2 linked regions of the Oryzias latipes genome follow. The protein of the gene in region 1 purifies or fractionates together with the protein of each later gene. This does not show direct contact. Links are inferred from orthologs where the notes say so. Each region holds a gene or a part of one and is shown in the gene's direction. Other genes may lie near its edges. The genes, in order: araf and bag2.

Evidence for each region.
Region 2: the proteins of araf (region 1) and bag2 purify together in Homo sapiens (affinity purification with mass spectrometry; 3 studies listed by BioGRID and IntAct, with this or other methods). This does not show direct contact. The link is inferred for Oryzias latipes from reciprocal best matches to the Homo sapiens genes ARAF and BAG2.

Annotation. Positions count from the first base shown.
Region 1 is NC_019867.2:28,405,690-28,409,609, forward strand, and holds the start of araf (serine/threonine-protein kinase A-Raf), read left to right. Parts: upstream 1-1,645; 5' UTR 1,646-1,761; intron 1,762-1,798; exon of another isoform or gene 1,799-2,064; intron 2,065-3,275; 5' UTR 3,276-3,388; coding exon 3,389-3,499; intron 3,500-3,920. UniProt on the Homo sapiens protein: Involved in the transduction of mitogenic signals from the cell membrane to the nucleus. May also regulate the TOR signaling cascade. Phosphorylates PFKFB2.
Region 2 is NC_019873.2:24,430,358-24,434,277, forward strand, and holds the start of bag2 (BAG family molecular chaperone regulator 2), read left to right. Parts: upstream 1-1,560; 5' UTR 1,561-1,714; coding exon 1,715-1,836; intron 1,837-1,978; coding exon 1,979-2,088; intron 2,089-3,269; coding exon 3,270-3,664; 3' UTR 3,665-3,920. Other genes in the region: E3 SUMO-protein ligase ZNF451, read left to right, coding at 300-340. UniProt on the Homo sapiens protein: Co-chaperone for HSP70 and HSC70 chaperone proteins. Acts as a nucleotide-exchange factor (NEF) promoting the release of ADP from the HSP70 and HSC70 proteins thereby triggering client/substrate protein release.

The DNA of each region.
Region 1 (3,920 bases):
TTAATGTTTTATACTTCCAAAATAAAGCCTAAATTCAAATTTTTGTTTGCAGCGTAGTTGTATGACAGAAATAAAAATGCATTTGTATAATTTTTTAATTTATTTTTATTTCATTTTGTACTGTATTACATAATTCTATTTTGCCGTCTTGTTTTTCATCTTAAGGAAGATTTTGTTTAAAACTTGCTTCTAAATTGTCTCATTATACAATATATTTAGTTTTTAATCAAAGAGGGTCAGATTTGATGAAGTGAAAATGTGTGAGGGTCAACCATTTGACCAGGATTCTTTGAATTATTTTATGAACAATAAATGCAAATGGATATTTTATTGCAATGGGATACTTGTCAATTCAAACTAATGTTTAACAAAAATCACAATTTTTTGCTTGTCTTGTATGGTATCCCCTCTTTCTATTGACCAGCTACTCTTGAAATATCAGGCAGACACTGTTGTCTCATGTTTCGCTGAAAAAATCTGCCGGTTTCCACTTGTCCTGGAGGAAGTGGCCCTCACTGTCAACTTTGCTTTTTTATTTCCTGGTGGCATTTCAGAAATGAGCTAGAAAGTTTCACAGAGGGGTTGCACGACAGGTTAACAAAGGTTTAAAATATCAACCACAATCAAGAAATCATACACGGGTTCTAGAAAAGGCGGGGGGCCACATATTATTGATTTATGAAAGGAGCCTGCGGGCCGGTTCATATTTGAATGCGGGCTGCATTTGGCCCATGGGCCGCACTTTGGACATGCCTGATTGAAAGGGATTGTGTTTGGGAAAATGTGGGGTTGAAGTCGTGCTAAAACATACAATGTCTAACAACCTGGCAGTTTGAACCCTGGAGCAACCAATTGGTGCACAGTGCCAGTCCTGAGCTATTCATGTGCTGTGATAAATCTGGAAGGAAAAACTTGGGATGAAAGCAGAAAGTGCCTATTTATTCATAAAAATACAGATTAGAAAAAAATTGCTCTATAAATTCAATAAGATTGTATCTATGTCTCTAAAACTTAAAATGATTACACTTAAGGAATTTTAAGTATTAACAAGTTTGATCGCAATTATTTTTCTTAGATAAATGCCTGTGGGCCAGAGGGAGATTGAACTCGGGCTGAATTTAGCCCATGGGCCGGACTTTGGACACACCTGATCTAGAGCTATTTTCAAATCCGTTTCTGCATTTGGGAAAGGTTGAAGCCTTGCTATAACACACAATGAATATAACAGCCTGACAGTTGAACCCCTGAGCAAACAATTGGTAAACACAGATGAACCTACAAAGATGTACCTGCCTGCACAAGGAAACACTTTTGGGATAAAAGTGCAAAGTGACTGTTTTTCCCCTCATAAAAATCAGAATTAGAAATAAAATAAAAATTCATGGTAGGATTATATTTATGTCGCTAAAACTTGAAAACATGAGGCAATTTCAAGAATTAATTAAATTTATCGTTTTTCTATGTGTTTTTCATTGGTAAAAAAACTTTTTGAAAAAAAAACCCATCTCATGTTGCATAAGCAGATGTTGAAAATCTTGCGCGGGATTTGCACCCTCATTCTGTGCTGATGCTAACAATCACTCGTTTACGTGACAAGTCAGTTCGCAGCGCCCACCTCTCAACACCCGCAGGTGTCCTTGTCCAATCGGAGGACGCGGCTGCTGGAATCAGCCAATCAGGAGGCAGCGCCGCGGAGTTTTTCCGCTTTCCCGAACTTCTTGACAGACTTCAGATTGAGACAATTCAAGATGGCTGCTTCAGGTGAGACCGAACTTTTGGATGTGAACTGCTCCAAAACACCGTGAAGTGAGTCGGCCGGGTCTTCGCCGTGGCGCGGCGGCTTGGATGGGTGCGGGCCTGTCAGCTGAGCGAGTGTTGGTTACAGTAAGCGGCGCTAATGGGAGCTTCTGAACCGACTCCGCGGTTACACCCGCAGGTTAGCTAACATTAGCCGCCTAGCATCAGAGCGGCTCGCGGTGAAGTGTGTGCGGCAGCGGGATTATCTCCTTCCGCTCCTGGAGCTCTGCAGCTTTCAGAGCGGACACAGCAGAGTCCCCCACTCAGGTTAGATTGCTATAATGTCATAGAAGTTTCCAGGGCGTCACTTTTGACCTCCGCGAGACCCGTAACAAACTTATTTGGCTAGTTAGCTGAAGTGGTAACGGGCGCCTCGGCTTAAACATGGCCTCCCAACTGAAAGTGTGTGGCTGCTCAGAGGCTGCGCCGCTGCGGCCGAGGGGGAAACGTGAAGCGCCTGAGCGGCCGGGATGCGGCGGTACACGGTACCGTGGGTCTCTCCCAAAGGTTCTGACAGAAACCCAGCTGCGTCTTACCCGAGTTCGGCTCTGTCACTCAGACGGAGCCCTGTGCGCCTAAAAAACCCGAGTATATTCCCAGAGATTTTCTCTTGATTATGGATTCTGGTTGAACGAGTTCGGTTGGTTGATCCAAACCCACTTACATGTATATTAATATTATTGGTTTGCTTCATTTTTAGGCATTTATGTGGTTAAGGCAATATTTTCTATTTACTTCTGACACAAAGTAAACAAAACAAATGCATGTAACAAATCAGTTTAAAAAAGGTTTGGTTTCTTTATGTTAAAATAATCCACATTTTTTATTAGTTATCATAAAACCTTTTTCCTTTTTAAAACCACACCAATGAAAATGAAGATATTGGTGTTTCAGAAGAGTTTGTTGCATTTTCTTTCCTAACATTGTAGAACATATATTAAGAAAATTTAAGATTTTAATAACTTTTCTGAATATTACTTTATTCACATAATTGTGAATCAGGAGTAGACATAAAAAAGTTGGAAAAAGCTTTAAATCTGTCGTAGGAGTTAAAACTGCAAGTTCCCTGCTCCGCATCCACTTCTACACAAACAGACCCATGAACGTCTCCGTTTTTCTCGTCTGAGCCGGAATCTGGACCTAAACTGTACGACTGGATAGCTCCGATATTGCTCGCCATTTTTGTTGCACCGAAAATCCTAATTTGGGGGTATGGGGGGCTGTACGCCAGCGGGCGAGAGTTTTTTTTATTTTGGCTAAAAACGGCATAATCATGATTGAAAGACCACTGGGAACGCTTATACAAAATCAATCAGAAGGTGACTGTAGTGGGGCTTTAAATACATTTCTGCATGACTACAAAGCATTTTTTATTTCTATGAAGAAGCATTCAGACTTTAAAGTTTCATTAAATCACTGTGTACTCAAGGTTTGAACGTCCTGCACTCTTGTTACATTTTGTGTCTGTGCGTTTGCAGGTTCTGAGTGAAGGGCTTCTCTGGATCCCACCTGTGCATGCTGCAGCTCTCCTGAGGTTGCAGTTTGAGTGCTGCCCCCCCACCCCCACCCCCAGCTCCACCTGCCTCTCATCATGTCCTCCACCTCCTCTTCATACTCCTCCTCAGGGGAGACCAGTCCGGAGGATGTGCCTCGGGGCGGGGGTACCATCCGAGTCTACCTCCCCAACAAACAGAGGACAGTGGTGAGGCGACTGCGCATGCACTGGTTCTAATGTGTTTAAAAACGTATCTGTAGCACATCTATGAACATTCATTCATCCACGTGGTTCTGCAGCAGAAACGGTTCTAAAAAGAGTCAGTTTTTTCAAGTTGAAGACGTTTAGCCTCTGATCCAAGAGACTTGCCTAACTCTGAACTCCTTTTCTGTTGTCGCTTTTAACATGAAAAACTGCATTTTTCTCTGATAATAGATGTGTGAATGTTTACAGTAGAGGCTAGAAACTGAAGCTAAAGCACCAAAGAAAATTAGGCATGCCGAAGAAAGATGATGAATGCAAAAACCTGCAAAATTGGTTGGAAATATGGCTAAAATGTTGAATTCAATGTTGAATTAATCTGACAGATCTTTTTTTTTATGAATTTGTTCACTAAAAAATTGAAATG
Region 2 (3,920 bases), on another chromosome or scaffold:
TGGGCGGCCCACAAGCTCCCTGCTTCTAGCGCTCCGAAAGGGAAAGGGGGCGGAGTTGCTCCGTGCCAGTGGTCCCGCCCACAATTCAGCTCTGCAGAAACTATGTCCTAAGAAAAACAACACAGGCTTTTTTTGTATTTTGACTAAAAGCAGCATAAACGGGATTAAAAGATCACTTTGAAAATAGCTTCAAAGATGATCGGAGTGGGTCTTTAAAATGGCCTCTGCTGTTTTTATGTTGTTTTATAATGGAGTGTCATTTTCAACTTTTTTTTTTTTCTTGTTTTTCTTTCCCGCAGAGTTGGAGGAAGCTCTTCAGAGAAGTCTTGTGGAGTTCTAAGTGCTTTCTAAATGAAGTAGTTCCTGTTGTTCACCTGTCACGTTGACCTTTTTTACTCAAGGTCATTGTTTTCAGAAGTTATAAATAAAAGTCATGAATTATTTGAATTGATTTACTTCCTTTAGCAGCCAAAGTCAGCAGTTCTTGGGGCAGACAGTGGGTTTTAAAGCTAGTTAGAAGCTGAGGGTTTATAAAAAGTCAGACGTTCTAAACATTGAAGCTATGTGTCACGTGTTCACACACACACACACACACACACACACAGGATTGTGGTGACACAGCTAGATGCCTGGGCTGACCTCGTGACCGCAGACCAACCGCTCCTCCACCTCTCTGGTTTCACTACAGACGTGAGGATTCTCTTTACCGGCTGCTCAGACGTCAGAAATGAATGAGCAGAAATTGTATTTTTTCTACAGAAAAGTTTGTATGAAACATCATTACATGAGTTCAACTTAAAGAAAAAGGTTTTTTGTGTAAAAGTGTGAGTGAATAACAGGGACAGAACGGTTTTCCTAAAAAGTACTCTCTGTGAAAATATTTTTCTTTAATAAAGATATAATAACGGAGCATGACGTTTGGTCATTGAATGTTACATTTGATTATTTTGTTCGGAGAACAGAAAAAAAAAACAGTTTGGAGACCTGTTGGTTGGTAAAATAGATGGAATCTATCTTTGTGGCTTGAAGCAATAGAGATAATGGTAACAAGCACCTGTCACCTCATCAGCGCCCCCTAAAGGTGGTTTTGTTACATTGTGTCTTTGCTTTTTTCTTTTAACTAAAATGATGAAAAAGTGCCACTTGTACAAATTGATGAGAGTTGCAAATGTCATGTTTAACAAACCTGTATGAACTCTGCAAAAATATTATTCAAATCATGCAGAAAACAGTTATTGGACAATACTATTATTTTATATTTACTTGATGTATTCGTCTTTTAGTTTATTTTTATTTTCTAATCAATTTATGACAATTGTTTTTTTGCCTCCTAATTATATAAAAGTTCCAGAAAAAATAAGCTTTCTCTCCCCCTGTTCCCTTTTATCTCCCAGATATAAAATCTTGTGTAAAATAAAATCTGTTGTTTTATGGAAATTCAAATAAAGCATTTTAAAGCTAAAGCGCTCCTCACTCAGAGCCCCCTGTTGGAGCCCCCTGTCTGGGTTGGAGCCTCCTCTCTGGGTTCCTCGGGAAGTTTCTGTGAGGAGGAGGAAGAGGAGGAAGCTGAAGCCCATGTTAGGAAATGTTGTCCCAGGGGCGCTGCTGCCTGTAGCCTGAGGAATTACTGGTCAGGCGGAGAGCTTAAAGCGCCGCTCACTCTTTGGATTGACTGATCGGACTACAGAAACTCGGCACTGCAGCACTAATTATTATGGCTCAGGCGAAAATCCAGGCGAAGATGAACGAAGCGGTCTGCAGCAAGTTCAGCAGGACACTGTCCATGGCTGATCGCTCCGGAAGACTGCTGGAAACTCTGGATCAGCTGGAAATCAGGTACAATAACGGGCCTCGCCATGCGCGTCTTCTTTGGAGGTGCTCTCGTTCGTTTGACACTGTGGCGTAACTTTAACAACTGAACGTGATTGGAAGGAAAAAGAAAAGCTGTTTTTTTTTGACGGATGTTTGTTTTTGTCAGGGTGGAGGCTTTAAGAGAAACAGCATCCGCCCTGGAGCAGGAAAGAGAAGGCATCCTGGAAATGATTCAATCCATCCAGAACAGTCAAGAAATGCGTAACATCTGTGCGGGTGAGGCTGCTAATTCTCTCCCACAACTTACATAAGAGCACAAGTCATCCGCTGCTTAATACCAGTGAAGAGTGGCTTAACTTTCCAGTAATCTTAATTCCTGTTTTTTGCTACTTTGATCCTGTGGTGATAAAAGGAAAACTTTGCGTGATGGTCAAGAAACTGAAAAGAACAATGTGCTCCACCCAAAATGCATCACATGTCTCACCCATAGAGGTCCCATTTCACCTCTGTGTCTTTCTATTAAACCCTCTAAAAGGAACACACTATACTTCTGAGTCCAACATAGCAAGTTTACTACAAGATATAAACTTTTTTTCATGGTATAAGTAGAAAGAAAAATTCTGTTCTTTTCATGGTACCATATTATATTTACATATTCAACATAAGTCCACACATTTTCATGAATAGAAAGGAACAAAAAAAATGAAATTCTTGTTATATTTCTGCCCCTATATCAAATCTTAAAGACCCACTCAGGAAAATTGTGTTTTTGGTGTTTTTAACATGTTGTTGTGGTGTTTTTCTCAAAATGCAGGACATATAGAAAGAAAATTCAGCTCATATTTCCATTTCGGTGTATTTCTTTATTCAAATTGCAAAAGCAAAAATGCCATTTGAAAAAGCTTGTAGGTTTGACGTAGAAGCTAATACAGCAGACCACAAACGTCCTGCTCTTCTCTGCTCCATTCTGATGCATCCACTTGCGGACAAATAGATCCATGTAGGTCTTTTGTTTTCCTCATCCGAGTTGGCTTCCGGCTCAAAGCTGGACGGATGGATATCTCCATTCTTGCAGGCCATTTGAGTTGCATCAGTAATGTTACGTTGGGGTTATAAAGGGCTGTAAATTTGCAGGAGAGCGTTTAAACACATAGATGTCCGGAAGCAAGGGTGGGCTTACTCCACGCCTACGGCCCCACCTACAACTTAGAGGCAGATTTCTAATGAATTCCTGCCGCTCTGCAGAAATTATGTCCTAGAAAATGACACAGGATTTTTTTATTTGGGCTAAAAATGGTATAACTATAATTACAAAACCACTCGGAACACTTTGGAAATAGATCAAAAGACGATTTATTAACATAAAATACATCAAAATAAATGAAATGAGTCAAAAACAGGTTAATAATAATATTTTTTATGACAAATTAAAGCTCTAATTTCCTTTTCTTCTGCAGGAGAAAGGGAAGAGTTGAGCTTAACTGCGAACCGTCTGATGGGCCGGACTCTGACGGTGGAGATCTCCGTTGGCACCATTAGAAACCCCCAGCAGGAGGAGGCCCTGCGGAAAGCCACATCCATGATTGACGAAATCGTAAAAAAGTTGCTGGTCGACATGGAAGGCGGTCGGCAGCAGCTGATGGCGCTGCACGCCGCCTGCGTGACCGAAGCACCGCCTGTCCCCATCGATCAGAAGTTCCAGGTTGTGGTGATCAGCTGCTCTTTGGAGGACCAGAAGAAGATCAAACAGAGGCTGGAGACGCTGGTGAGGAATGTGGAAAACGCTGAAAAGAACATCAAAATTATGGATCATCAAAAACTGGAGAGTGCAAAAACCAACTGCAGTAGTTAATAATCATCACCAAAGCATGAAGGGTGTTTTTGAATTCCACTTTACCTCACAAAGGAGAGCTGCACAAGCATGACTCTTAGGGATCCATGCATTGTAACCAACCCTGAAAAGTACACTGGTACACATTTTTTTTGTAAAAAGGTCAATTTTTACTTTAAATTTTACTACACCGACATAGCTAAAGGGCACACAGTTCACAATGTATGTTCATCAATAAGCCCAAGAAAGAACAAATACAGATGCATCACAGATTGAA